Linked DNA regions of Rattus norvegicus. The protein of the gene in region 4 interacts with the protein of the main gene of each other region in a biochemical or structural test. Links are inferred from orthologs where the notes say so. Each region holds a gene or a part of one and is shown on either strand. Other genes may lie near its edges.

The links.
Region 1: the proteins of Oip5 (region 4) and Mis18a form a complex in vitro, tested with the Homo sapiens proteins (3 studies listed by BioGRID). The link is inferred for Rattus norvegicus from reciprocal best matches to the Homo sapiens genes OIP5 and MIS18A.
Region 2: the proteins of Oip5 (region 4) and Hjurp form a complex in vitro, tested with the Homo sapiens proteins (2 studies listed by BioGRID). The link is inferred for Rattus norvegicus from reciprocal best matches to the Homo sapiens genes OIP5 and HJURP.
Region 3: the proteins of Oip5 (region 4) and Mis18bp1 form a complex in vitro, tested with the Homo sapiens proteins (2 studies listed by BioGRID). The link is inferred for Rattus norvegicus from reciprocal best matches to the Homo sapiens genes OIP5 and MIS18BP1.

Annotation. Positions count from the first base shown.
Region 1 is NC_086029.1:43,455,842-43,463,475, reverse strand, and holds part of Mis18a (protein Mis18-alpha), read left to right. Parts: intron 1-3,783; coding exon 3,784-3,906; intron 3,907-7,634. UniProt on the Homo sapiens protein: Required for recruitment of CENPA to centromeres and normal chromosome segregation during mitosis.
Region 2 is NC_086027.1:96,300,081-96,307,643, reverse strand, and holds the end of Hjurp (Holliday junction recognition protein), read left to right. Parts: coding exon 1-41; exon of another isoform or gene 42-1,341; coding exon 1,342-1,420; exon of another isoform or gene 1,421-2,781; coding exon 2,782-4,274; 3' UTR 4,275-5,114; downstream 5,115-7,563. Other genes in the region: Mroh2a (maestro heat-like repeat-containing protein family member 2A), read right to left, coding at 7,010-7,103. UniProt on the Homo sapiens protein: Centromeric protein that plays a central role in the incorporation and maintenance of histone H3-like variant CENPA at centromeres.
Region 3 is NC_086024.1:88,927,460-88,935,093, forward strand, and holds part of Mis18bp1 (mis18-binding protein 1), read right to left. Parts: intron 6,060-7,634; coding exon 5,261-6,059; intron 393-5,260; coding exon 220-392; intron 1-219. UniProt on the Homo sapiens protein: Required for recruitment of CENPA to centromeres and normal chromosome segregation during mitosis.
Region 4 is NC_086021.1:127,049,101-127,056,726, reverse strand, and holds part of Oip5 (protein Mis18-beta), read left to right. Parts: intron 1-222; coding exon 223-289; intron 290-2,725; coding exon 2,726-2,848; intron 2,849-4,885; coding exon 4,886-4,967; intron 4,968-5,247; coding exon 5,248-5,359; exon of another isoform or gene 5,360-5,360; intron 5,361-7,221; coding exon 7,222-7,253; 3' UTR 7,254-7,626. UniProt on the Homo sapiens protein: Required for recruitment of CENPA to centromeres and normal chromosome segregation during mitosis.

The DNA.
Region 1 (7,634 bases), on a different chromosome or scaffold from region 4:
CCACCCACACCTGACTCGGGTGTGCAGACCGGACACAACAGTCCTAGGTTCCATGTGGTCCCTGCTGGGGCCGAGGGCACAGAGAACTTGTCATGGCTGATGCCTAATGTCTGACCAGTGCTGTCCTCAGCACACTGAGTAGAAATTTCTGCCTTTTCTATCTGCTACCCCAGATAGGAGCTGTGTCTTGCTGAGGTGGAGAGACTAATTCAGGTTGTACTCAGAGAAGCAAGAGGTGGCACTGACTTGAAGGTTTTAATAATGGTTTTAGTAATATTCAAATGTCCCATTCAGATAAAGTGTTAGAGAAACCGGAAGGCAAATCACATTGATACAGATAAAGATGATGTGGGTGTGACAGATTATGCTGCTGGCAGGTAGATGATTACAGTTTGAAAATCTCAACTTCATATATTTTTAAATATGTATGGGTGTTTTGCAACTATGTACGTAAGTTCACCATGTGTGTGTCTGGTGCCCACGAAGGTCAGAAGAGGGCAATGGAACCTTGGGAGTTACAGACAGTTGTGAGCTGCAGTGTGGGTACTGGGAATTGAACCTGGTTCTCTACAAGAGCAGCCAGTGCTCCTAACCATTGAGCCATCTCTCCAGCCCAGAAATCTCAGCTTCAGATGATGTTTCATTTTGTGACCAAGGACAGTAATCCCCAGGAGAGCTCCTCTGGCTAGAGCGCTGATTCAGGACCTCTTACAGGGCTGTTGGCATTTGCCTTCCTGCCTCTGAGGCATTCTTTCTTTCGATTTCCCAGCTTGAGTCTTTCAACGTCACCTTCTCCATGTGTGTCAGGTCCACTGTTTATGTACTCATCTATGTTAATGGGAATTAAGTCAGCTTCAAGTTGAGAAGGGAACTGCTTTTTGAGAAGTCAGCCATCTAGATTTGAGCTCTTTACCTGCATTACCTATACCCATCATTTGTATTGCCTTAAATTGCCTTGGGTTTCACTAGGGCCCTATGAAATACTGTATTGTTTTGGGATGCTTATGCATTTTTCAAGGTCCTTTCTACTGAACATCTGGCTGAGTCATTGCTGTGGTCAATCAAGCCATGGGACGGGCATCAGAGCCGGGCTGTAGAGCTAGCAGTACTGTCTGTTTTTCTCATTTCTATCCTTTACCTAGGCTCTTAGGATTGAGCCAGTTCTTGTTTAAAGTTGCTTTATAGTGCCTGGTATTGCTTCTCAGTCTTGTTCAGTGATGGGCTGAATTAGGCCCAATGATAGTGGCCATCTACTCCCGACTGTTCCCCAAGGGTATTCTAGGCTCTGGGTTAGTGTGGACTGTGATGAAGAACATGTACTGGCTAGTTTATGTTAGCTTAACTCTAGCTAAGGAGGAGGAGGGAATCTCAGTTAAGAAAAGCCTCCATAAGATGTTGTAGGCAAGAATGTAGGGCATTTTCCTAATTAGCGATCCATGGGGGAGGGGCCAGCCCATGGTAGATTCTGTAAGAAAGCAGGCTGAGCAAGAGATAGGGAACAAGCCAGTAAGCAGCACCCTCCATGGCCTCTGCATCGGTTCCTGCCTCCAGGCTCCTGTCTTGTTTGAGTTCCTGTCCTGACTTCATTCAGTGATAGACTATGATGTGGAAGTGTAAGCCTGATAACCCTTTTCCTCCCTAAGTTGCTTTGATTATGGATACAATAGAAACGCTAGGACAGACAGATCCCTTGAAGTTGGAGTTACGGCAGTATGAGCCACTATGTAGATTCTGAGAACCCCACTCGGTGCTCTGCAAGAGTGGTTCTGCTCTTAGGCACTGACCCATTTCCTGACCCCAGCATGTATACACTGCTTTGTCTGGCTCTTCAGTGGCAAGAACAGTACTTAGTGATAGCAGGTCCCCTATTAAGGAGGAATTAAAGTACTTGGAAATATTAATCCATTGTGGTGTACATTTCAGTACTTTAATTAAGAGTAGACTAAAAATCCAATAATAATTTGGTAAATGTTGGGACTGTAATTTTCTTACAGAATGGTAATTTAAATACACTATTTGCAAAGGCTTTTGGGAGACATTGGACTGATTGTAAGGACATTTTAAAGATGTGAGTGGGCACAGAGGGAGAGCCAAGTCTGTGGAACAGGAGCTGAGAAGACTGGGACAGTTGTGCAGAGAAATAATGGAAACTGAAGTAAAATGCTGTGAGTCGCCTGTGTTGACCTATCTCTAGTTGATGGTAAAGTGTTTATGTCAAAGTACGGTGTAAGGAAACAAGGCAGGTCTAACCAAGACAGCAGATGCAGTCAGCAACTGAGTTACCTCCCTGGTTGTGATGACACACACCTATAATCCCAGCACTCGGAAGGTCGGAGGCAGAAGGATCAGGAGTCAGCCAGGAACTTGTCACAGCTGATCTCGCATGTGGCATCATCGCCCCACTGTGCAGAACATTTCTTAAAGTCTGCACACCTGCCTGCCCACTACAGCAGCAGAGCTGCGGACTGGTGAGTGACAGGGCATATTTTTGTTTATTTGTCTCTTGATTTTGAAGACAGGGTTTCCATGTGTAGCCCTGCCTATAGTGGGGCTTGCTGGATGAACCAGGCCAGCCTCATGCTTAGAGATCCTCCTGTCTCCCAAATGCTGGGATAAAAGGTGTATACCGCCATGCCTGGTCTGTGAGTCAGACTGGTTCTGTTGATACAGTACAGGGCTAATGCTTACACCAGACACCTGAAATGTTTGTTCTCTGTCATTATAGAGAAAAATTGCCTGTTTTCCTACCTAGAATATTAATGATGGGTTGGGCTTTGTAAAAGATATATGGAATCTTGTTTGGATTTGGACTTTTATATGCATCTTTATTTTTCTATCTATCTATCTATCTATCTATCTATCTATCTATCTATCTGTCAATCAATCATCTACCTATTTTACATCCTGCTCACTGCCACCCTCCTAGTCATCCCCTCCCACAATCCTTTCCCCATTCTCCCCTCCCCTTCTCTGAGTGGGTGGGGTCTCCCCTATATATTCCTGCCACCATGGCACATCAAGTCTTTGCAGGGCTAGGTGCATCCTCTCCCACTGAGGCCAGACAAGGCAGCCCAACTATAAGAACAGGATATTTGGAATCTTTCTGTTGCTTTTCCAGATTTTAAATAGTTTGTCTTAATCCCAGATCAAGGACTCTGTGTCCTGGGAAACCCTGCCTTGGCATTTGTTTACATTTCTTATCATTTGTTGTCCATGGTGGTGTGGCCTAGAGCTGTGCTTGCAGTTCTGCAGTCTTTCTGCCTTTGTTCTTTTCTTCCTCATCTATGTGACTTAATATGTCAGAGTGAAGCTGTGTGTGGCGATGCAGTCTTGTCACCCCAGCACTTGCCATGGGAGGATGGTGTAGGAGGGCTGGGCTACAGAGGAGACCCTGTCCCAAGAACAACAGAACAACAACAGCAGCAGCAGTGGTCGCAGTAGCCCCTGTCTACCTCAACTACCTAGGGGTTTATGGACCTTACTTAGTTTAAGTTCATTTTTACTTCTTTAAGTCACTCTGTATGTGTGTGTGTGTGTGTGTGTGTGTGTGTGTGTGTGTGTGTGTGTGTGTGTGTGTGTGAATGTGTGTCTGTCTGTCTGTCTATGGAGGTCAGAGTTTCACTATATGGGTCCTGAGATCGAATCAGGTTGTCAGGTTGTCATTGTCAGCAAGCACCTTTACCTGAGCCATCTTGCTAGCCCCAGCTCATGGATTTTAGCAGGGAGGACTCTTATCTTAGGGACTGCTGCTCTCCCCTGAGTGGTGGCGTTTCTCTGTTGCAGCATCCTTGAGACGTTGTACTGTTCAGGCTGCTCCCTCAGCCTTGGCTATGTGTACAGATGCACTCCCAAGAACCTGGATTACAAGAGGAACTTGTTCTGCCTCAGCGTTGAAGCCGTTGAAAGGTAGGTGTAATAGATAAGTGCTGCCTCTTGACTGGTTCTCTCTCATAGAACTAGGTATGCAGAGCTGTGTAAGAACAACAGCACTGGGGTTGGGGATTTAGCTCAGTGGTAGAGCGCTTGCCTAGGAAGCGCAAGGCCCTGAGTTCGGTCCCCAGCTCCAAAAAAAAGAACCAAAAAAAAAAAAAAAAAAAAAAAAAGAACAACAGCACTGTACTGTGTCAGCACTGTAGGGTTCTGGCCGAAAAGCCAGTGGTCACCCTTGACCCAACTTTGGGTCTAATTTATTTGGTATCGGAAAAGACAGACAGATTATAGGAGAACATGTGTGACCCCCCCCCACCCCTTTTTTTTAAGTAAAAATCAATTGAAGTTTTTGTTTATTTATAATTTATTTTACTTTTTTGGTTTTTGTTTTGTGAGATAAGATTTTTCTTTGTAGCCCTGGCTACTCTGTAGACCAGGCTGGCCTCACACTCAGAGATCTGCCTGCCTCTGTCTCTTGAGTGTTGACACTAAAGGCATGTACCACCGTTTCAGTACAGACTCTTAGCTGACTTCAAAGTTAAGATCTCCTTGAAGCAAATACTTCTGCTTTGCAGGTCTGGGATTGCATGTGTAAGTTTGCCTGGCAAGGTGTTTTTAAGCAATTGTGTGGACCAGTATGTACTGTCCATACTTTCCTGTCCCCATTATGAACTTCCTAGAACAGTGGTTCTCAACCTTTCTAGTGCTTTGACCCTTTAATACAGTTCCTAATGTTGTGATGACCTCCAACCATAAAATGATTTTCGTTGTTACTTCATGACTATAATTTTTCTACTGCTGTGAATTGTAACGTAAATATCTGTTATGCAGGATGTTTATGTGAAAGGATTGTTTGACCTCCAAAGGGAGGTTAAGAACCATTGCCTTCAAAGTTCCTGAAGAGGGGCTGGGGATATAGCTCAGTGGGTAGAATGTTTGCCTAGCATATATAAAACCCTGGGTTCAGAGCCCAGCACTGTATAAACTGAGTGTGGTGGTGCACACTGGGATCTCAGCCCTTGGGAGGTGGAGGCAGGAGGATTGGGACTTGAAGCTACACAGAGAGTTGGCCTGGAGATCCATGAGACCGTCATAGAACCACTCTAACTCCCAAAAAGAATGGCATGAGGAATCTGTTACTGAAGGAGTTCCTTTGATATTTTAGAAGACTAGAATATGAGTTCAGTTATTTACTGTAATAAGGAACTGTAATTTTTAATTATATTTGTCACCTTTTGAAACCAGCAAGTTTAAGTAAAAATTTTATAATCTACAAACCAGTTCACATGAAAGAATCACTAAGCAAGCAGTGCTCCATGTTACAACAGCATACGTGTGTGTCTGGTAGTCCATGTTTGATTAGCAGGCTGGGTCCCGGACAGGTGATCCCTTAACCTGTGAGCTGCTCATTAGGGTCAGCGACAGCGAACTGAGGGTGCACATGTCTGTAAAGGAGAGGGCATCTCAGCCATGAGTGCTCACCCTCCGGAGGCTGAGCAGGGGTGAGGCCAACCCTGGTTACCCAGCAAGATCTTCTCTTAACAGTAAATAATGATAAAATGGAAGACAGAATTTTAATCCAGGGGGATTGGAGCAAATCCCTCTCTGTTTTGTTTTGTTTTGTTTTGTTTTGTTTTGTTTTGAGACAGGGTCTTACTATATAGTCCTGGCTTGCCTGAACTTGCTGTGTAGACCAGGCTAGTCTTCAACTCAGAGATCCACCTTCCTCTCCGCCTCTGTCCCTGCCTCCACCTCCCAAGTGCTGGAAGTAATGCTGTGCACCATACCTGCTGACACTGTTTTTATTTTTAAAGAAGGAGTGGTTTCTTTGGCTCAGCCTTTGGGGTGCAGGGTGGAGAGGGTGTTCACAGCCTGAGGGTGCAGGGTGGAGAGGGTGTTCACAGCCTGAGGGTGCAGGGTGGAGAGGGTGTTCACAACCTGAGGGTGCAGGGTGGAGAGTGTGTTCACAGAGCCTGAGGGTGCAGGGTGGAGAGGGTGTTCACAGAGCCTGAGGGTGCAGGGTGGAGAGGGTGTTCACAGCCTGAGGGTGCAGGGTGGAGAGGGTGTTCACAACCTGAGGGTGCAGGATGGAGTGGGTGTTCACAACCTGAGGGTGCAGGGTGGAGAGGGTGTTCACAGAGCCTGAGGGTGCAGGGTGGAGAGTGTGTTCACAGAGCCTGAGGGTGCAGGATGGAGAGGGTGTTCATAGCCTGAGGGTGCAGGGTGGACAGGGTGTTCACAGAGCCTGAGGGTGCAGGGTGGACAGGGTGTTCACAGAGCCTGAGGGTGCAGGGTAGAGAGGGTGTTCACAGAGCCTGAGGGTGCAGGGTGGACAGGGTGTTCACAGAGCTGGAGGCAGCTGGTCACACTGCACCTTCAGTCAGGAAGGAGAGAGGTGGGATTCACAGCTTCTTTTTCTCATTTTAAGGTCAAGGTGGGGGTCTCACTCTCTGTCCCTTGCTAGTCTTGAACTCAATGATCCTCCTGCCTCAACCTTTGAGGGGCTAGGATGCCAGGCTAAAAAAAATTTAAAATGATACTATCAGTATAAAAGAAAAAAATGTAAAATATTTTTTTGTAGAAGATCACAATATTGAAGTTATTTTTCTCCTTAAGAATTGAATTTAGGGGGGCTGGGGATTTAGCTCAGTGGTAGAGCACTTACCTAGGAAGCGCAAGGCCCTGGGTTCGGTCCCCAGCTCCGAAAAAAAGAACCCCCCCCCAAAAAAAAGAATTGAATTTAGGGGGGTTGGGGATTTAGCTCAGTGGTAGAGCGTTTGCTAGGCCCTGGGTTCGGTCCCCAGCTCTATTAAAAAAAAAAAAAAGGAAAAAAAAAAAGAATTGAATTTAGGATCCTTGTTACCTTATGGGACAGGGTATGAACCCATGCTGAGGGGTCTGAATTTATTATAGAAGTGTTTGCCCGGTATAACATTTATTTACAGTTTAAAATTTTTTTAAATCAGTTTTTTTCCAGTTTATTCCTTTTTTTCTAAAGAGGGATTAATCACTGTCTATGGTTTTTTTACTATGCTTTTTTCCCCAGGAATATAAACCGTAGGTTTTCCAAAAGAAGACTTATTATTTCTTTATCATCTTATGTGTCTGGGTGTTTGCCTGTACTCATGTCTGTGCACTACATGGGTGCAGTGCCTGTGGAGCAGAAGTGAGCATTGGATCTCTGGGGGCAGAATTAGGCCATTGTGAGCTGCCCTGTGGGTGCTGGGAACTGATCTAGAGCCACCGGGAGAGCAGCCAGTGCTGCTGAGCATCTCAGCCCTGGACACTTACTGACAAGATGGCATGAAGTCACTGTATGAGGAGAAGTGGGAAGGAGTGTGTCCCTCCTCGTGTGGAGATTGATGAGGTAGTTCATGGGCCAGGCTGCTGCCGCTTTTTTTAAAAAATAAAATTGTAATACTTATTCAAACGATCATCCCCCGTAACCCTAGAGAGCTGTGTAAAACACAAATTGAGGTTGTCTGACTCTTACTTCTTAAAACTTTTCTTACTTTGTGTTCGTGGGTGTTTTGCCTGTGTGTATATGTGTGTGCCACGTGTGAGGTCAGCAAAGGCCATCAGACCCCAGAGCTGGAGTTAGGGAGGGTGAGCTGCCTGCCACGTGGGTGCTGGGAGCCAAATGAACTCAGCTCCTATAGGAGTGGCAAATGCTCGTAACCGCCACTGCCTGTCTAACCCTGAGG
Region 2 (7,563 bases), on a different chromosome or scaffold from region 4:
CCCAGGTGGATATACTGCTTCAGGACGCAGAATATTTTAAGGTAATCTATGTGCGCGTGTGCTGGTAACTTGACCAGACATTAACAACAGATTGGGGCACAGTCGTCAAGATCCAGTGCACTGTTCTCAGAGCCTGTGAAGGGGTCTGATTGATTATTTCCTTGCTTTCCATAGGCTATCAGACTTTCCCTTCTACAGTGAACACCCCAGGGGCCTTGATAGCATCAGGAAAACCTGGGAAATGGGATTCATGCTGGGGGAGACTTGTCCACTGTCCTGTGATAGCTCAGATCCAGTGGGGCCGTGGACTCCTAGAGCAGCAACAAATCTTAGCTTTGCAGTTGAGGAATTAGCCCACACCTTCCCTGGTGAAACCTCTTTGATCCCAAGCCTGCTGTTCTGGGTGTGAGCTGAGTGAAAGGCAGGCAGGAAGACGACTGCAGGAATAGCCTCGCTCCCAGCACAGGCTCGTTCTGCTACACCACAGCGCTTTCTCTCTGCTGGGTCCTTCTACAGCCCAGGGCCACCTGCCAAGGGATGCCACCCACAGTGGGCTGGGCCGTCCTTGGTCAGTTAGTAATCAATACAGCCCCTCACGGATATGCCGAGTACCTCGTGGACATGCGGACAACCACCTGATGAGGACTGCTGTTCAGTTGAGACTCTCTTCAGGTGACTGTGGGCCCTGTCAAGTTGACCGCTGATGCTAACTAGAATAGCTGGAGTTGGTCACCTCTAGATGCCCAAATTCTGTTGGCATCTTTCATGAAACAAAGGACACCCTAACATCCTAATGCCATATGTCTGAAGAGTAGTGTCAGGTAACAAGCACTTTCCCTCTCATGGTGGCTGTGGGTCCCCATGAAGTCAACATTCTCTCTGTGCTGGTAACCAGCTGAAGCCCGTGTTTGGACATCCCTTGACTACTGTCCCTGAGGTACATTCCCCTTCACCTGGATCAATAGATGGTATACTTCTGGCTGTTCTGTGATCGAAGGAAAAAGTCAGAATTAGGCCCAATTGTCTGGCTTCTGCCCACCATCTCCATGGCCTTTGGATATTCTGACTAGTCCAAGTGTAATGGTAGACAAGAGCCACTGATAGCCGGGCCAGGAGTAGCTGCCACAAAGGTCTCTGTGCCCTTGTAGGCAGAGGTCACATGTTTTGGGGCCACCAGTTCCCCCTGGGGCTTGAACACTAGTCAGCATTATGGTGCGCACTTGTTTTGAAGTGGGAATAACTAATGTTATCTAAGGACAGTGTGTTTTTAGAGAGAGCCCAGATCCATAAACACAAGGTCTGAACATCCGAAACCCTTTTGATCACTGGTTCTGATTTCAGAACACACAGAAGGGAGATGGAAAAGACACGGTCACGACTTGCTTTCCTTCCTGGACGTCACCTGTCACACCAGCCCCTGGTGAGTATGAGGGAGTGGTTTGACGTGAACTGTGTCTTTCGTCCCTGGAGACTTGGTATCACCTGTGGTGGGTGTTCCACATGAGTGTGAGGAACTGTCATCGACAAGTGCTGTCCTGGGAACAAAGACTGCTCTGGTATAGTCTCACTGTAGCCCAGGCTATCCCTCTGAAGTCATTATACCAGTTGCTGTATAGACCTTTGCCCTCATCAGTTTGAACATTTGAAATCTGCACCACAGGAGTGAGCAGCAGCCGCCTATCTGCCTTGTGTGTCACAGGCAGCATTTATCCTCGCCCTTTCGCTGACCCTCCCCAGAACACATGTATGTACACAGGCGGTATAGATTTATACATGCGCTTTCACATGTACTTTCCAAGAACTGGGTGATTCTCCATGATTATAAAAGATTCAAAATGTGCCAGAAACTTCTCATTGGCATGACACGAGTTTACCAACTGACCCATGATGTCCTTTGTGGCCATTTTTGTATTAGGCCCACTCGGGTGGCACCCACTGAGTTTAGCAGCTCCTTGAGTGGCCATCACCGTGTCAGCCTGTCTCCAGTGCTCCATTTGAGGCTTTTCCTGTTTCTGTGGGTTGGATTTTACTCTTTGAGATCTATGAAGTACTCATGTAATGCAGAAGTCATAGCTGCACCATGCATACATAGGTCCTACCTTCTCAGCCATCCTCTAAAGGTCAGGAGTTTTTTTGGGGTTTTGGTTTTTTTGGGGGTTTTGTTTGGTTTTTTTCTTTTTTCTTTTTTTTTTTTTTTCTCTCTTTTTTTTTTTTTCTTTTTTCTGCTGTATATATGTGGTGCGTGTGTATGTGTGTTTGCATGCATGTGTTTCTGTTCAGGTGCCACAGACCACAGAGGCCAGAAGAGGGCCCTGCTGGAGTTGCATTGTCTTGCCCCACGTGGGTGCTGGGAACCGAACGCTGAGGCTCTGGAAGAGCAGCCAGTGCTCTTAAGACTGAGTCGCCTCTTTCTTCTGTCCCTTTTGTTGACTTTTCTTATTAAAATGTTTGCATCGGTGGAATTTTTCTAATTAATTTTTTGAGGGTTACATCTGTGTGTGTGTGTGTCTGCGTGTTGTATTGGCTTTTGAGCCGACAGCCATCTCGAAACAGTGTGAGGAGGAGACTCCCTTAACAAACCTGGAGTGAAAAACAGGAGTTCAATTTTGATTGCTGAAATGAAATCTTCCAAGAAGAGTTTATTCCTTAACCCTTCTGGGGTTTTATTTGTGCTGTTTTAAACTGTCGTGATTGCGATGCCCTCACCAGCTCCCTGCTCGGTGGGTAAGGATGGGTGGATCGAGTGGCGGTTTCCCTTGACTTTGTCTGTTTCTCCCCTAGGATGCCAGGATGGTATCCCTGCAAAGAGCTTTGGTGGTCCTGAAGGGTCTGCTTCATCCTGCGGAGACCAGGCTTCCTCATACCCTTGCCCAGCTGACATGACCATTGTGACTAGAAATGACAGCTTCTCCTTACTAGGGGCCAGCAGCAACAGTGTAAGCAACCAGTGCCCTGAGGTTGATGACATCAGCAATGTGACAATCAGCGATCTGTATGAAGGCATGATGCACTCCATGAGCAGGCTGCTGCGCTCAAAGCCGTCGTGCATCATCTCCACCAAGACCTCCATTAACAGGAACTGGAAGCTCAAGAGGAGGCTCTCACGAAAGCATGGGGTGCACAAGAACACGACATACTGCCACAGGAGCAAACCCTTCCAGAGGAGCTCTAGGAAGGGGCCCCTGCACTGCTCAGAGCCCAGGAAAGAGGCCAGAGTATTAAGGGACTCCAAGAACTTGCCGCATGTTGATCCCCACAAGACAGACAAGACAGGCTTAGAACTGGAAAGTGTTCCTCTTGAAGGAAGCAAACTCCAAGTCCATAAATTGAGTCCAGCTTGGAAGGAGCTCCAGGGGCTGCCTCAGAAGTATTTGGGCTTAAGCACAGTAAACCACCTTGGGCGAGAAGACAGGGTGAAGGCATTACAGTGGTTAATTTCACCCGTTAAAATGGCTCCCAGGCTGAGGGTGCCTCCAGGTCAGGTAGAGAACTGGTATAGAGAGGTTAAAATCAAATTTGAGAAACTCCATCAGGAATGTTGCCCATCTCCTGAGAAACGGCTTCGCCTGACTGGCCCTACGCAGTCTTGGGCTGCAGACATGTACAGAGGTGGCTCTAAAAGCCCAGGCAGCCGCCAGAGTGTAGAAACCCACAAGCTGAGTTCACCTTTGAGCAGAGAGAAGACAGAGAGGCCAGGTGAAGCTTTTGAAGACCTGAGGGGAAGGTCTGTCAAGACAAATAGCTGTCTCCTAAGGAGGGGCCCTTCTCCAGAGGACAGCCCGTCACAAAGTCCAGGTCATTCTCAACAGAGGTCTGGCCATCTTCAAGAACATAATTCTGAACCAATCAGAAAGGCAGCATGGCCCAGTACAGCCATTTCAGCACCGGACTTTCCAGACTGTGGAGGTCACTATGACGAGCTTAAAAAAGAATTCAACAGACTTTATCAGAAGTATTGTCTGGTGTCACCTCGGCATGCGAAGGTGACTTTGTGTGGCAGACTATCTCCAGTGAAAGCTGCTGCAGCTGTTCCCGGTCAAACAGAGCACTTGAAAAGATTAAATCCAGACTCTCCACTCCAGAGTTCCCAGAAATGGTCGCCATCTCCTGACTGGCGCATAAGAATTCCACAGGATTCAACTGCAGTTGAGGGTCACAGGTCTGCACAGACTGCTAGTGCTGTTGTGAGAGGCCCTTGGTTGTCAACAAAGAGGCGCAAGTTGTCATACCCGGCCAAGTCTCCAGATTCCTCGGGAGCAGCAGGCCGGCTCTGAGTGTCCTGACTGCTGGCTGCGTGTTTGTCCGTTGGACATGATGTGTAGTCAGTAGCTGCTTTGAGGGAGAAGACTTGGCAGACGCTTTTCTCTTTGGAGGTGGGCCCAGAGCATCAAGTGTGCTGAACAATCTTTCACTGCAGCTCCCAGTAGCCACTTGGCCTCTGCCCAGCCACCTCCCCCGCACCATATCACAGCGCCACCTCTGTTCTGCCTTGGGCTTCTCCAGCCAGCCTCGAATATGTCTCTAAATCATATTCAGGGGATTCTCGATGGCAGTTTTCCTTTTGACTTTAACTGCTTACATTGTCTTTGCTCCCCGCTCCCCACACCCATCTTCACCTTCCTCTCTTCTGCTTTTGTGTAGGTAAGTGCCCTTCTGGAGGACATGGTGTAAGTCCATGGGTTGGGTAATAGCCCGGACCCTGCTCCCACCCGTTGGCTTAGTCTCAGGAGCTCTGGTTTGGGGGTGGGGTGGGGGAGATGTTTTGTTTTTGAGGCAGTCTTACATAGCTTGGTCTGACCTTGAACTCGTTGGATGGTTGAGGTGACTTCAAGTTCCTGATCCTCCTGCCTCTGCCTCCGTTTCCCAAATTCTGAGGCTAATCTTTGTTTTCGGATTTATTTCCATGGGTACAACACTTTATGAGCTGATTGAACTGCCAAGAAGGGAAGGGACCCACCTGGGGTAGAGCCATCGATACAAGGAGCAGGGCCAGACCTCAGACTTCAACAATACTAGCTGGGTCTCTGGTCACCTGGTGTGGCAGGTATCCCTGGCAGGGTATGCCCGCCAGCAGGCTCCCTTCGCTCTTGGCCTGAGCTGCTTGTCTAGCTGTCTCAGCCTCCTAGACCAAACTCCCACCACGGTGCCCCGGTGGCCAGCTCCAGACACTGCGGAAGGGACTGAGAGCGTACTCGTGTCCAGGTCACCTCAGGGTAACCTGAGATTCCAATGGGAAGGAAGGCCACCGGAGGCCTTAGTCCAGAACCTGCTTTCCTCACCCAGCCTGTGTCCTCAGCCTTTTGCTTATGTCCCCCGCTGTCCCAGGAATACAGCTGTGTCCCTTGCCCCGCCGTCTGGACCTTCCTCCAGCTCTAGCGCCAATGAAATACTGCTACTTTGTTTTTAAACCCTGTCTTGCTATGTATCCCAAACTGATTGACCTTGTAGCCCTCTGCCTCAGCCTTCCTAAGACATGTGCAACATGCCCCACCTTTGAAGTCCCACCTTCCTGGTACTCTACTCAGAGAAAATCTTGATTTTTACCAAAGCCTGGAGACCTCTCTCGCCCGACCGCTAGAGGAGACCTTGACTTTACTCTCTGTAAAGTCAATCAGTTTGCTGGTTGGTGGGAGTCACAGTACTTAGAGCTTCGTCCTTGGTCCTCACCACTTCCCTGAATTCAATGGCCTATCCTTAGGGCCTTTACCCGATGCCTTCTCTAGTCCCATCTTCAGCCACACTGAACACTCAATAGCTTCATTTTCTGTTTCCTTCTCCTTCAGCTATAACAGATCTCCACATTCAGTGACAACATGAAGGATATTAAAGCTGGTTCCTTCTGTGCTGGACCAGTAAGCCTTTTACAGACCTTACTCTATCCACCTAAGGACCCCTCAGTGACACTGATGTGAGCAGTCTCTGTTTCTCTTATGAGGACAGTGTGTGTCTGTGTCTGCCCACTCCTAAGTTCACTCAGATGGGGCTGACTTACCCCAGGGCACACAGCTGGGGTAGCAGCAGCAACCTTTGTCATCGCTGTCACTGCAGTGTGACAATGAGAGTTCCCACGGCGGGCATAAACACAAGTGCAGTGCAGTAGACGTCAGGCATAGTGGCAGGCCTTAAAGAACTACGGGAATTGTACTAAAATTATCTCTCATCGGTCCGGATGGAAAGGTGATTTTTGTTAGGAAAATTTTTTAAAGTAAAAATCTTGCCTCCCCCTGCCCCTCTTGCCTCTAGTTCTGTTTTAGATGGGGTCTCTGTCACTGTCACCTAGGCTGGCCTCAGACGCACCTCAAACATGCTGTGCCACAACCGTCTGTACCGCCTTTGCATCGCTTGTGTGCTGCCCTGCTTGACCTGTCTGCCCTTAACGCCCCTCCAGGGCAGCTGGCACTGTGGAAAGGGCCTGGTGTGGTTTTGCAAATAAAGTTGTATTGTTAGCGTTTTCAATGTCAGTCGACCCTGTGGACCTGTTTGCCTCAAGTTCTTTTCTCGCTGTGGCATGCCATCTAGAATTGTGCGCCACGTTCTGTTGAAACATCACTTGCATATGAAACCTACAGTTGAGCCCCAGACACGGTGATCCCTGAAGTTAATAGGGCCGTTCCCTTTTTTAAAGAGACAGCCAGCTAAAACTGCTTGAGATTCACTCACATGAAGGAATCCCAAGATTTAAAGGAAATCTCTGAAACAACTCTGAATTATTTCCAAACACTCTTGCAGCCCTGTAGCACCCATGAGGCCTCTTTCTACTGTAGAGGTTGCCAGCAGCTAGTCTTCCTGAGCAGTTTCAATCATTCTGTGTGTGGTAACAGAATGACAACTGTTAGTATACTGCCTCTTGGGATGGTTTTCAGTGTAAGGCTGAAGGGCGGACTTTTCTCCTGTCCTTCCCTTAGAATGGTTCCTACGGTCTCTCTTTTTCTCACACTTCCAGCCAAGACCACATTTGTAGTACCTGCAAGTCAGCAATTGGCCATGGCCACCAGCCAAGCCGCTGGTGTCAAACTGCTAGTAAATCGATTAAGGGTTGAAGGCTGAGATGGTGTAGGTTTGGCCAGTTCTGCTGAGGTTTCTTTCTGGCTATAGACAGCTCCCTGAGGTAAAGAGATCCTGTGAGAACAAAGCTCCAACCGAATGTACTGGCTTACTCAGAATTCTAGCACTAGAGAAGCTAAAGCAAGCACACTACATTAAGGGCTAGCCTGTGCTACAGAGTAAGAGCCTGTCTCAAAAAAAAAGTACTGTTTTTATTGTGAGGACTCCATCTAACCTTTCTGGTCTGAACATACACACACATAGTGTTGAGCCCAGACAGCATTGCACTGAGCTCAGGGCTTCACCTAGATTTGAAGAACTCAAGTTGGTATAGCAATAAAATCTGAGAGCCTGGCACCTTGCAGGATGCCCATTTTGGCAGTGCATGCAGACTTGAGCACCTCCAGGGCAGGCATGGTCTCTGCATATCTAGACCCTTCTTTGGGCCTGATCCTTGCTGAGAACTAAGGGGTCCAGTATCCCCTAGCGGAGGAAGGCAAGCAGGCGTGGGCAAAGGTG
Region 3 (7,634 bases), on a different chromosome or scaffold from region 4:
GTCAAACAATCATTTCACAAGAGTCACATATCAGCTATCCTGCATAGCAGATTTTACATTATAATTCAAAACACTATCAAAATTACAGTTACGAAGTACCAAGAATAATTATATAGTTGGAGGTCACAACACATGAGGAACTTCATTAAAGGGTCACAGCATTAGGAAGGTTGAGAACTACTTCAGTAAGTACTCTGAGAATACAATAACAAAATTTACCATTTTGGACCTTGAAGTTGGCTTGCTTTTTCTTAGAGACATATTTTCGAGATCCTCTGCCTTGGGGTTCTTCTGTGTATTTCTTCTGGCATTCATCAGCAGTTCGAGAACCTACTGCCATAGCCACATCTGACCAAAAGCCAGGTTTGTGCTTTGGAAGGGATGCAAAAGCACTACAGCAGACCAAAACCAGGGAAGAACAAGAAATTCAAATCAATGAAAATAATCTGAGAACATACTGAATCAGTGAACAAGAAATTCAAATCAATGAAAATAATCTGAGAACATACTGGATCAGTGATATTTACTAAGCTGGAGGATTTTTTTTTAAGACAAAATCATTCTAGGTAACTGTTCAGAAAAGATACCAATCTCTCTATTCCATAATTTTATTATTACAATATAATAAACTATGAAGATATAACAGTATATGTCTAGTAAAATGCCTTTAAACTATTTCTATTAGATATGAAAAATCTTCTAATCTTTCAACATTTTTTTCCTAAGTCCAACTAGTCAATGATTTCATCTCTGAGGGAATTCTGGCATATACTAATTTCTATGTATTGTCTATCAAGTCTTACTAGTACTAAATCTACAAGAAGATAAACTCCTAATTCTTTCATAGTTTTACGATTAGGTTTGAATAGGCATGATCAATGCATGACAAGTGTATTAAACAGAAATAGCATAGGAAAATCCTTAAATATATACAAATGTTTTAAGACTACTTATAAAAATGAAGCTGGGCATGGTGACATATACCTGTGATACCCGTACTAGAAAAAGTTGAGGAAAGAAATTAAAAAGTTAAAATTTAAGGATAGTAATACTGGGTCTAAAAAACTAATAAAGTATAAATACAAGGTGGTTCCAATTCAACCTATAAATGAAACTCTAAAAGTTCTGTTGCAAATCACTGTTTTAAAGCCTACCATACTATTTCCACCTCCCTGTACTCCCATGAAGACTTGTTATGTTGTGGTTAAGGTGACAATTAAGCCAGATAACTAATTCAGCAATTACCCTAAAATGGCACAGGGTAAATACTCCTTATCTCATATACTTAAGATACAAGTGTTTCAGGATCCAGTCAGAACATGAAATTAATTCATGTTTCATATATCTCTTCATACATACAGACCAAAAGTAATTACGGAGGTTTGTTTCTTTGATAGCTTGGAAGCATGATACTATTATTAAGTCATACCAACCTCTAGAAGATGGTTTCATATAGTCTTTTTAGTGATCCATTGTCACAGGAGGTGAAGTATGGATTTTCCACTGGTGTTATTTGTTAGGACAAAGAGTTTTAGATTTTGGAGCTTCTGAGTTTTCAGATTAGGGATAATTAAATAATATGACAATGTTACATCAACTGTATCAGGTTCCCTAATTCTGTATAAAACTATTGGCAAATCTATGACTGCCTAAAAGAACTATTTTTCATTAAAAATTCTTTTTTTAAAAGACTTATTTATTTACTATATATATGTACACTGTAGCTGTCTTCAGACACACCAGAAGAGGGCATCAGATCTCAATTACAGATGGTTGTGAGCCACCATGTGGGTGCTGGGAATTGAACTCAGGACCTCTGGAAGAGCAGTCAGTGCTCTTAACCACTGAGCCATCTCTCCAGCCCTCATTAAAAATTCTTAATGCATTTAATAAAAGTCAGTAATTATCACTATCTTCCAAGTTATTCCAGGTAAATAATGAGGTAAATTTAACATATAATCACAGCCATTAAAATCTTTGCTCTAACTTACGGTGATATTCTGACTGGCATTAGTCCCCTTACTCATGTGCTCTCTCCTCAACCTTCAGGATTCGGTTCATTCCAGCCTCCCAATATGCCCTCTCCCTTTCTAGATGAATACTTACATTGAATCTTTGGCTCACTTTTGATCTTTCACCTTTCCCATATCATCTAGAGTAGGTCACAATGTGCTTACAGTCTCATAAATACATATAAACTTGTTACAGTGATTACTATATGTGCTAAACACCTGCTTTCTAGGGTATCAACACAATAAAAAATACAAAGCTATTGAAGATTTCAATTCACTAAGTAAGACTGCATTAATGTAGTTTGTAGAATGTAGTAATTTGCATTTTCAGATGCTCATTAACTGATTATTATATCACTGGCAAGAACTAGAATAGGTTTTTATTCACAGAAAACCAGAAATCACATCTAATGGAATCAGAACAGGTGATAAGAAATAGCTGCAGTGAAGTGATAGGTAAAAATGGTCTTCATCTGGGTTTTAGGTATGTCTAACCCTAAGATGCGCTGTGATAATCCTTGTGGGATCATAACTGGACTAGATTACCAAGGAAGAAGAAAAGGAAGAACTGGGAATTAGAATGGACAAACTTCTGTTTGTCTTGAAGGCCCATTTCCTGATTGCTTTTAGCCTTAAGTCTAGCTTAGGTGAGGCTATAAAAGGGAGAAAGAAAAAGGATATTCACCCTAGGTTTGGTGATATGTAACATTCCAGAAGTTTTCAACTGAAGAAGGAAGGAGGTAGGGAGGAGAAAGAAGGAAGGAAGGGGCTTTGTATGCTGGTATAGGTGATCCAAGCACTTGGGAAACTCAGATCAATAGTTTGAGAAGAGTAGGCCAGCTTTGTCTTGTTCTAGGATACCCAAGTCTACACAAAGAAACCCTGTCTCAAGAAAGCAAGTAAGTAAGTAAGTAAACAAACAAACAAACAAACAAACAAACAAACAAATTTTTGGAAAAAAAAATATAATGTTAAAAAGTTGTATTATAAGGAAATGCTGAGAGATACAGCTAGAAAAGGTAAAATTGCTAGCACAGCCCGCTTTTGACCTAAAGCAGAAGAATATAAAATATGAAGTGATATTAAATGGAATGAAAATTTCTGATAGTTCAGATTCTCAGTTACATATTCTTTCTCTCTCCAGACAGAGTTTCTCTGTGTAACAGACCTGGCTGTCCTGGGTCTCACTTTGTAAAGCAGGCTGGCCTCACACTCAGAGATCCACCTGCCTCTGCTTCCCGACTGCCAGGAGTGAAGGTATGCACTGCTACTGCCTGGGTCTCAGTGATATCTCAAGCCCGACCTGAACATATCTGAGCTAGATTACCCAGATGGAAAGTACAAATGACAAGCACAAAGATGGTTCTACAATTCAGGCATTAAATAGGTGAGGTCTGAGAGAGAGGAATAGCAAGAAAATAGGCTGCACATAGATGGACCTATGGAATGGCTATTTAGCAATTAATAAGATTTTTTTTTAACCAATAATGGCAGAGTTTAAATATATTTGATGGAAAGGACTTTATCTTCAGAAATAAAATATTACCACCTAGATCTCCCCACTCATCTGTAGCAGAGGTACGACTGGAATGGAGGATAGCTCCAAAGCGGTTGCCTGTATGTGGATGTGCTCTACTAGCTGTGCTGCCTTGTCTGGCCTCGGTGGGAAAGAAAGCACCTTATGCATAGGGGGTGAGGGTAGGGGAGACCCATGGTATCCTCACTGGCTCAGAGGAAAAGGGGAGGCGGGGAAGGATTGTGGGAGGTGGTGACCTGGAGGGGAGGGTAGTGAGAGGGATGTACAGTGAATAAGTAAAAAAGAAAAAGGAAAGAAAAGAAAAATTAATTTAAAAAATTACCAAGGGCATCAAAAATAATTATCAATAAAAATATTCTTTCAATTTTTAATGGTCAGATCTTTAAGCAACATTTATATCGTTATATTCACCACAAAATGTAAATACAAATCTAAATATAGCAATTCAGGGCCACAGATAAATCTGAGGACCACTGTACAAAGAAGAAAGTCAGAAATGTGGAGGATAAAAGATCACTAAGGAACACACCTGCACTGGCTGGTTTTCTGTGTCAACTTGACACAAGCTGGAGTTATCAGAGAAAGGAGCCTCAGTTGAGGAAATGCCTCCATGAGACCCAGCTGTAAGGCATTTTCTCAACTAGTGATCAATCGGGGAGGACCCAGCCCATTGTGGGTGGTGCTGTCTTGACTTCCTTTGGTGATGAACAGCAATGTGGAAGTGTAAGCTGAATAAACCCTTTCTCCCCAACTTGCTTCTTGGTCATGATGTATTGTGCAGGAATAGAAACTCTGACTAAGACAATACCATAGCAAGAAAACAGACAAAAAAAAAAAAAAAAAAGAATTTCAGGAAGTAAAAAAGAATTATTTGCCTGAGAAATAATCAAAAAGGGATCATGTAGGGAATTGAAAATATCAGTGAAGGTTGTACAGTATCATAGAAATGTCTCAGAGAGAACATTCAAAAGGACTCAAAATGTATTCCAAAGCACTTTTAAGGACATATAGTAAATAGAATGCTAAATGTCACACGTTCTTCTCTCAGCCTCTTCTTTATCAGTTACGTCTTCCTTTCTTTTGACTATATCACTTCCATCAGCTACCACTCTACCCTAGCATCAACCCTCTGGCAAAACAACCAAATTATTTTCACTGTTTCCATACTCCTTGTATTACACATGGATTTTTAGTCCTCATTTTTGCCAATTTTCTTGACTTGTCTACATATGTTGTCATAGCTCTTTACTTTTCCTATTTAGGCTTCATAAGTCAATTATGATCTGGTTTTCATACTAACACACTATGGAAACTTTTATTAAGTATCTATAGTCAAATTCAATTCTTTTTTTAATAAAATCTTTTTATGTGAATGAGTGTTTTGCCTGCACCTATATCTGTGCAGAGGTGTGAAAGGCAGAAAATCCACTGGAATTGGACTTAGAAGTTGTAAATCACTATGTGAGTGCTGAGAATCAATCTCCAGTCCTGTGGAAGAGCTTCCAGTGAATGAGTGCTCCTAACTGCTGAGCCATCTCTCCAGCCAAACTCAACTTCAGTTCTTAAAGAATGTGATTTATCACGAGTTACAAGCACAATAATTATTCACATCTTCTGAAAAGCTCGCTAACATCACTAGTATATCTTTAAGTCAGCCCTTTCTGCTATGTTGTAACTATTCTGCACACATCCCAGAGACAAAACTACTTACCGATGAAGTTTCTGTAACTCTTGTTCATTCCATTCTCCATCATCAGTTGAACCAGGTTGATGGTCTAACAGTTGCCCGTTAGTTGTATCAGATGCCTTAACTTCAATTAGAAAGTCCTTGGTAATATCAGATTTGTAATGTGATTCTTTAGCAGAAGATCTAGGTTTCTTTGGTGTGACATAAGAACCACTCTCACCTGAAGATTCTGAAATCAGGATATCTTTTGTGATGTAGTTTGTGTTTTTTCTCTGCTGATCCAGCCTTTGTTTTTTATTTCTTGCTCTGGTTTTACCTTTAACTTCTATTTCATTCTCTTTACTTGACAAATGTGATGAGGACTGACTATACAGTGATACATCTATTTGATTTTCAGTTTTCTGCAGTTTCGAGGGCAACTTGTTCTTTTTCTTAAAGTCATTGGTGAACATTTGTTTACTTTTGGGACAAGGTATTGGAATGCTATGTGTGACAGTGATTATGTCACATTTGCTGCAGTCCTCTTTGGAACTGCCTTTATAATCCACACTGTGTTCAAAGGTCTCTGAGGACTTGCTGGTAGACATTCCATGTACGTCTGACTCACTTTCTTCTTGATGGTTTGCTTTGAGAAAACCCCTTACTCCTTCAATAGAGAGACTGTGTTCCATACATCTTTGCTCTATCAACTTTGTGGTTCTAAGTGGTGTCATTAAAACATAAGCTTCCTTCTGACCAAGAGGCGGGTGTCTTTCTTTGTTGGAGGTAGGCTGTTCCAGTGACTTCAATGGATCAATGGGTACATTTAAAACTTCAGTTCTCTCTTTATTTCATTGGAAATCAGAAAAATCTCATAAGTACAGGAGAAAATGCTCTACGAAATAAGACTTTTTTTTTCCTGACAGGTTACACAAAGCACTGGTCTATTAAGATCACTGTCACTTCAAATGTAAGCATGTACTTATGTATACAATTCTGCCAATGACTTGACTTTCCAGTTGGCTGGCATGCATGCAACTTTTCTACCTGGCCTTCAATATAGTTTCAGTCTTTTACTGACCACAAATTAGAACTATACTCTATGGATATTAGACCTTGTATTTCTCAAGGTCTGAATTTTCATTGTTTCCTCTCCCTTAAAATGTTCCTTAATCTGTAAGACCCTCAATTGCTTGCTCTGAATTTATTCTTTAGCTCACTGTATCTCTAAACTCCCCCTTTCTCTCATTAAATTCCCACAATTCTTTTTGAAATGCCATTTTGGTGTCCTACATTTTAGTTGTACTACACCAGGTTTATCTTTTGGTTAGACTGAGAAAATCATTAATGTCAGACCTTAATTTTTATAAACATTTTTTCTGATGTTAGTGCAGACACTCAAGAATTAGTAGATACTAAACAAATGTTTTAAAAATCAATTCTCAAAACGTAAAATAGCTAAAGAGATAAGGAATCCACTAAGCAGCCATGTAAGATACAAAACAAGTTTTGTTAGTTAAGGATGTAATTAGGAAAATGTGAAACTCTATCTGTACACTCTACTTGCATCCTCAATATGGCCAAAGCAGCACATCTTTGCAAATCTCTCCCAATTTCCAAGAATGGTGGGAATTAACTAAAGCTACAGAACTTGGTATCTATTCTATCATGCATAGGTGAAAAAAGCAAATGAGATCAGCAGTCCAATCCAAAAATGGAGAAACCAGAAGCAAAGCGACCCGAAATTCTAACTGTATGAACTCCTATTTATGTTTACTGTAGTGGTTTGAACCAGAATGGGCACCATAGGCTCACACGTTTGAACCCTTGGTTCCCAGTTAATGGAACTGTTTGGGAAGCATTAGAAGATTGATGGTACTGTAGGAAGTATGTCACTAAGGAGCAGGCTTTGAGGTTTCAAAAACCCATGCCGTTAAAGATATAATGGTAGATATACCAGTTAGCTCTCTGTCTCATGCTTTCTGGTCATACGTGAACTATCAGCTATTGCTCCAGCACCATCCCTACCTACTGTCATGTTAGCCACAAGTTATAAGAAAGCCAGAAGGTACAAGCTTCTTTCTAAGTTGCCTTTAATCATGGTGTTGTACACATATCATGCCATAAGAGATAAACCAAAAATTGAAAGGTTAACAGTTAATAATGATGGAAAATTTCAAAATTATACTCTACCGATAATTAATTTGATTAGTACAACTATCCTAATGAAAAGAAACCAAAAATAAGTCTCCATGATATTTTTCATGGAAGTCATAAATTTACAAATTATTTTCTTGTAATTCCTTACATAAATCAAATCAAGCATTTAGTTAAACATTTTTTTAAAAAATTTGAACATTCTCACTTTGAACAAAATATTTCTAGTGACAATGTTTCTTGTCATTCACTTTATTTAATA
Region 4 (7,626 bases):
AGGGTTGCATCTGAGGAAGGCAGACCAGAGCCAGATGGGGGATGTGGCTTAGTACCCGAGCGGGGAGTGAGGCCTGGTTTTGTTTTCCAGAGTTGGGCTTCAAACACAGAACCTAGCCTGAGCTAAGCCAGCGCCTTTGGCACAGCCCCCACTTGGTTAACTTTTATGGCCCGATGAATCTGGTGGGAGGTATTTCTTTTTCAAAACCGGTTTGTCTTCCAGGAGTCACAAACAACGTCGTTTTGTTAGAGCCCCTTTTGGTTGGCATAGAAGGTTCTCTCAAATCCAGGTACGTGTGGAGAATTCCTGAGGTGGATCTGTATTGTTCCGGATTTAATGATGGTCAAGAGTACGTAACTGTTGTAAACAAGAAAGAAACTTTGTGTTGTGGCATGTTTACTCTCTCCATACAGTATGTTTGAAAGATAAACTCTTTACCCGTTTCAGTCATATTAACCTGGCTTTAATGAAAGTTAAAGTTGGGGGTAGGTCTTAAGGTCTGTGAGATAACTAGGACTATTTAACTTGGAGCTTATAATGTAAATATATAAACATAATATAAATCACGACAAGACTAATTCTGTAGTAATCTATAGAAAACTCTGCATCTTTGTTTGTTAATGTTTTTCCTATAGCAATAAAGTACTCAGTGAACTCGGGCTTAGAGTGAGGCCAAGCTAAGTTGTAGCCATACCTCCATTCAACTTTGCCAAACTAAAGACACATTCCTATCCTTATAGGAATTCCTTCTCTCAAAGGGGACCAGGAAGGAGTGGCCTGTTTCTATTGAAGTTGTTTGGAGCAAGAGGCAGAAGTACTCAGAATTGATGTAGATGGTCACATGTGTCCAGTACTGTAACCACTACCAGCTGTAATGGACCATTAGGATGTGGACATTGTTGAATTGAGAATACTTTGAATTCATACAGTATTTCAGAAGCATTTAGGGGTAGGGGTTGAGATAGGCTCTCTCACTCAATAACCTCACTAGCCAGGAACTCACTATGTCACCTAAGCTGGCCTAAAGCTTGTGATCCTCCTACATTGAAAACTTTTTTTGTGTGAATATGTTTGCGTATGCGATGGGAGCATGCATATGTAGGCCCGGAGGTAACCGGAAGCAGTCTTGCCTTCACCATGCTGGATGGAAGGATTAAGCTCCGTGTCTCAGGGTTGGTAGCAAGTGCCTTTCCCCACTGAGTCATTTCACTGGCCCTGAAGTGACACTTTTGATCTAGTTACATCACAAATTCTTTTACTTTTGATATTGGTAGTAATGGTCTTACCTTGACCTTACAGTTCTGCTTCTGCCAACAAGTGTTGGATCACAAGCATCAGAACCTACACCCAAAATCTTTTTAAAAAGCCTGATTAAAAACTGTAATTATAAGCCTGGTGGTGGTAGGACACGACTTTTAACACAGCCCTAGGGAGGCAGAGGGTCTCTGTGAGTTCAAGGGCAGCCTGGTCTACAGAGCTAGTTCCAGGACAGCCAAGGGTTCACAAAGGAACCCTGTCTGAGAAAAACAAACAAAAACTTAATCATACATTTGGAGATGTGCTATAGCTTAGAAGTACTATGTTTGCTTATCTTGTATTAGGTGCTAGAGTTGATCTATAATAAATACTTCAAAAATGCATACAAGTTAAAAGAAGAGAATGAGATTTCTGTTCCACATTATAATCTAAAAATAGTTTTATTACCTTTATTTATTTAGTGTGTGTATTGTGTAGTCACATGCCAAGGTACACTAATGAGGGTGAGAGGACACCTTTGAGGAGTCCAGACCCAGGATCACACTGTCAAGCTTGGTTGTAGGTACCTTTCCCTGCTGTTAGTGCAGCCCTGACTTCCCCACTGTGTGGTTCTGCTTGTGTGTATCCTAACTGAGGTAAATGGTCGTTTTCACTAGTAAACTTGAGGTCTTGAGATACATTCTTTACTATCTTTGAACTCAGTAGTTGATTGTTAGATTGTATTGTATGTGACACAACACTTATTATAAATTATTTCAAAAAGTTTTTTTGGATTACAGTCTATTGGTACTTAAAGTTTTGGCCAGGCATGGTGGTGCCTTTAATCCCAGCACTTAAGGAATGAGTGACAGTGAAGAAAAATCTTTATTCCACTCCACTGCCTGATATTATGTCCTGTTGTCTTCCAGACTGACAGACTTTTATAATGAATACAAATTAAAACCTAATCGACCTTATTCTATATAAGGAAATGGAGAAACAATTGTATTTTCAATATATATTGGAAGTAACTGCCTTAAGTCCTTTGGTGTTCATGATCCAGTGGCCTAGCAAGCTATATGATGCTAACTGACTATAAGGGAGTAAAAAACCCAAAACATCTTAAGGACAGTAGTAAATTTCTTTATTAGGTAGGGAGCCATGAATTACACAAGTGGTCAGAGACAGTACCAAAATTAGTTTTGAGGATTGTATTGTTTTGTTTTAAAAGTTTTTAGTTTGTTTTTGGTCAAAAATTATGTTCTTTGTTTTTGTTTCTTTCAAACAAGAGTCTTATATGGCCCAGGCTGTCCTTGGGAGCCAGTGAACTTGATGAAGTCCATCAGGTCGATGAACTTGAGTTCCTCCTGCCTATGCTTCTGGGTGTTAGAGTAACAGATACCAACACTATACCTGATGAGGGTAGTTATTTTTATTTCTCTTTTAGCTTTTCATTATTTTATATTCTGCTTCTTTCCTTTCCCACCAGCACATACAACCTTTTATTCTGTAACTCCTGTGGGACTCCTGTTGGTTTCCATTTATATTCTACCCGTGCTGCTCTGGCTGCCTTGAGAGGCCATTTCTGCCTTTCTTGTGATAAAATGCTGTGGTGAGTAGAGACATTACTTATTAAATAAGGTTTTTAAAAGATGCTAGGAAAGTCCAGGTGTTTATAACCAAAGAAGATACAAAAGGTCAGGCACTATTTATTATAATATATACTTGCATAGGGATAAAATATAATTTTTAAATAAATATTATTTTAGATGGTTTATTGTACTGTGTCTTAATATGGATTAATTTAAGAATGTTCTTTCATTAAGGAAAATTCTGGAAGGTATGCTTTTGCAAAATAGTGTCAATATAGACAACTTGGAGATTTTATATATCTCCATCCCAAGGAAGCCAATCAGATTTTCTACCCCAGGAGTTTGAAATAAGGCCTGTGTTGGTTACTTGTTTCATGACAAGACAAAATACCTGACAAAAGCAAGCTCAGGAAAGGAGGGCTTCTTGTGGCTCAGTTTGAAGGCACAGTCCATCACAGTGGGAAGTCCATGGAGGAGATGCTGGTCATGCTGTATCAGCAGCAGGAAGCAGAAAGACAAATGCCAGTGCTTAGGTTGCTTTCTCTCAATTTTTTTTCTTGTTTTATTGGGTTTTTTGTTTTTCAAGATAGGGTTTCTTTGTGTAATAGCCCTGGCTGCTTGGGCTTGCTTTTAGACCAGGCTGGCCTCAAACTCACTGTCTCAAACTGTGTCTGGAGTGCTAGGATTAACAGTGTGAGCCACCACTCCTGTTCTCTCTATCTGTCCTGCTGACCCCTGCTCTGACTCTATGGGTTTTTCCTATGTTCGCTTCCTGTCAATGGTTGCTTGCTGCACGTCTTGATCTGCAGTTACTTTACTCAGACTTTGCTTACAATAAACAGCTCTCGGATTAAAGGTGTGTGCTAAGGCTGAGCCACACCACAACCAGAAACAGGTTTTTCTAGTACACAGTTTCTGTGTTCACAGATAATCTTCCTTACTAATTAAACATTTAATCTAAGATATTTTATTACAAGAAACTGAAAGAATGGAGAAATGGCTCAGAAGTTAAGATTACTTAGCCAGACATGGTGGCACATGCCATTAATTTCAGCACTCAGGAGGCAGGGGCAAGTGGCTCTCTGAGTTCAAAGCTAGCCCAGTCCACAGAGTGAGTTCCAGATTGCCAAGACTACAAAGGGAAATGCTGTTTTGAAAAACAAACAAACAATAATGTAATACTAACATATTTTAATGTACTTAGATGTTTGTAGTGATTTATGTAAGCCAAAACAACATTTATAAGAAAGTCTCCTTTAACTCTGAGACCATTAGTGGCCACTTGGCTTTCCTGTTATTCACGCAACTTCCAACAGTGTCCTGGCATTATACTTAAATAACAAACATACTGTAAATTTCTACTTCCTTTTCATGTCTTTGTTTGTTTGTTTGTTTGTTTGTTGTTTTTTTGCTTGTTTGCTTTGAGTAGGTCTGGCTCTTTGGCCTGACTGGTATAAAATTACAATGTATATATAAAGAGACATTATTGATTCTGTAAATTCTTTTTCTCTAGAGAACCCTGATGAATTAAAGACATAAATCATAATGCCTGGCTTCTTTTTTTCCCCCTAAGTTATTGTTATTTAGAATTATATTTAAAAAGAAAAATAAGCATTAAAAAGCATCCTCTTATTTTTTTTTCCTTCTCATTTTGTGTTTTATTTTGTTTTGAGACAGGGTCTCTAATATCCCTGGCTGACCTGGAACTCCCCATCTAGTCCTGGCCAGCTTTCAATTCCCAGAGGCCCACCTGCCATTCCTTCAAAGTGATGGCGTCAAGGCTGCACCGTACTGCAGGGTAAAAGTTGTAAACTTTTACCAATGATGGTTATCCATCTGATTCTGGATTGTCTTTAGTTTTTCCTGAGACAGTTTTGTTACTGAGAATGGCAAAGGTTCAAGCAGAGTTTGTGGTTTTAATTGATATTTTTTTTTCCAGTAAAATACACCATGCTGCTTCAAACCATAAGGAAGGTTTTACTCAACAGATATTTTAGAGGGCAAGTTTGGTCCATTGGTAATGGTACTAATATTTTCTCTATATATTTTCTCTCTAGCTATCTGTTAAAAACAAAGGCCATAGTAAATACATCTGAGATGGATATTTACAATGTACCTTTACCAGAAAAGATTGCAGAGGTAAACCTGGTTGTATAGTTACTTACGTACACAGCATTTTCATTTTGGGTTTCCCTTTTGGAGACAGGATTTTTACTATGTATTTGTCACTTGTCTCAATTAACTATGTAGAACAGGCTCTCCTAGAACTAAGCTATATCCATTCCCTTAATACAGGCAATTTTTAAGTGTGTTTGGTTTTGTTTTGTTTTTAGATTTGTTTTATTTTAAGTCTGGTAACATTATAAGCAGCAAATCAAGGGTTGAGTATAAGATGTCCTCAATCTGTGTCTCTCCTCAGCTGAAAGAGAAGATAATGCTGATGCATTCTCGTTTAAACTCACTGCTGAGGGTTCTGAAGGAAAAGACTCCTCCTCAGTCTGACCAGGAAAATAGAACAAGCAACAAGCAAGGTAGCGTACAGAACTTCCTTCAACACCCGAAGTGCTCTGGTCATTTCTTCCTTCTTCTTTCCTTAAGGTCTCTTCTCTCTCTCTCCCTGCCCCCCCTTCTCTCTCTCTCTCTCTCTCTCTCTCTCTCTCTCTCTCTCTCTCTCTCTCTGTGTGTGTGTGTGTGTGTGTGTGTGTGTGTGTGTGTGTGTGTGTATGGTTGGAACATGTGGGCTGTTGCTCATGGAGGCCAGAAGAGAGCATGAGATTCGGTAGAGCTGGAATTACAGGCAGTTGTTAAGTGCTGGGAACTAACCTCTACAAAAGCTGGAAGCTCTCTTAACACTTATCCATGATCCATCTCTCTAGTTCCCATTGGTCTTTTCTTTTTTTTCTTTGGTGGCGGGATGGGGGGCATTTTGGTTTTGAGACAGGGTCTCACTATGTATTTCTAGCTGTCCTAGATCTCACAAGGATCTTCCTGCCCCACCAGAGTACTGGGATTAAAGGCATGTGCCACCATACCCTCTTGGTCTTTAACTTTTTAAATAATATTAAATATTAAGAACAGAGGGCTGTCAGATCTGGTGATGCCTGTGATCCCAACACTTGAAATACAGGAAGGAAGATCACAAGAGTAAGGCAATCCTTAGCTGTGTTATGGATGTGAGGCCTCCCTAAAGTTCCTAAGAACATGTCCCACTATCTGTACTCATCACATTGTTTGAGAATATGCCTTCAAGCCTATTTCCCCAGCTCATCAGCCCACTCCTGCTTTGGGGAGTCAGTGTTTTTCCTTTTCATAATAAGCTGTGACCGTAATAACTTTTTTAAATATTTATTTATTTATTGTGTAATTATATAGAAGTATACTGTAGCTGTCTTCAGACACACCAGAAGAGGGCATCAGAGCTCATTACAGATGGTTGTGAGCCACCATGTGGTTGCTGGGATTTGAACTCAGAACCTCTGGAAGAGCAGTCAGTGCTCTTAACCACTGAGCCATCTCTCCAGCCCCCGTAATAACTTTTATTTGCCTGATGTAGCTGTCTTCTCCAAGGCTTACTGCGTCCATCTGCTAACCTAGGCCTAGTTCGGGAAGCTTCCAGCCTGTATACAGTCTTACCTAGATCTAGAATGTTCTCAGCCTCTGAGACTTGCTGCTGAATAAGCTCACCCTTTCTAGTTCTTTCTGAGCTCCAGCTGGTCAGCTCAGCTCTTCTGGCTCACCATGCTGACTGATTCAGTCTGGCTTCTCAGCTTCTGAGTTGCTCTGCTTGACCTCATACTAACTTATGTTATGGCAATATGTTCTAATCTTCTGGCTCCCTCTGTCTTTAACTGTGTTTAGCTTGTTCTTTCTTCAACCTGTCTGTAAAACTACATCTTCTTTTCTCTCTGCACTGCCCCTTAAGTAGCTTCCTTTTTCTCTCCTCATTAGAGTAGGGTATATTCTATTCTGTCAAGTCTTTCTCCAATTCGTCACCTTGTCGGCCACTCAATCAGATATCATTTTCTTTTTTTTTTTAAAGATTTATTTATTTTGTATATGAGTACACTGTAGCTGTCTTCAGACACACCAGAAGAGGGCATCAGATTCCATTACAGATGGTTGTGAGCTACCATGTGGTTGCTGGGAATTGAACTCAGGACCTCTGGAAGAGCAGTCAGTGCTCTTAACCACTGAGCCATCTCTCCAGCCCCCCAGATATTATTTTCAAACATGGGTGCTTCCTTCTATACTTCTAACTTTACCTTGGTTTGGGATTAAAGGTGTGTATTAAGGGTGTGTATGTATGCTTTATTCCAGCCATTGGGAACAAAGGTGTGCGTGCGCGCGAGCTGGGCCATACCACAACTAGAAACTGTTTTGTTTTGTTTTTCAGGAAACAACACAATCTTGGGGTTCATAGAATGATCAAAGATCCTGCAGCACGTGACTCTATTACTTTAAATTTATTTTACTATGTTGATTCCATAATGCTTATTTCTGAAAATGTATTTCACTACTAATAACTAATTAGCATGCAGTGTCCCTTGTGTCCACTGACGAACAGAATGAACAGATGGCCTGGATAAAGAAATGGAGTTAATAGAGATGGTACTTCTACGTGCCAGTTATATGAATACTTATAAATACTTGTTTATTTGTTTTGAAACAAGGTCTCTCTCTATAGCTTTGGCTGTCCTGGAACTTTCTATGTAGACCAGGGTAGCCTTAAAGTTATACAGATCTACATTCCTCTGCTTCCTCTGCTAGAATTAAAGAAGAATGTCACCAAGACATCATT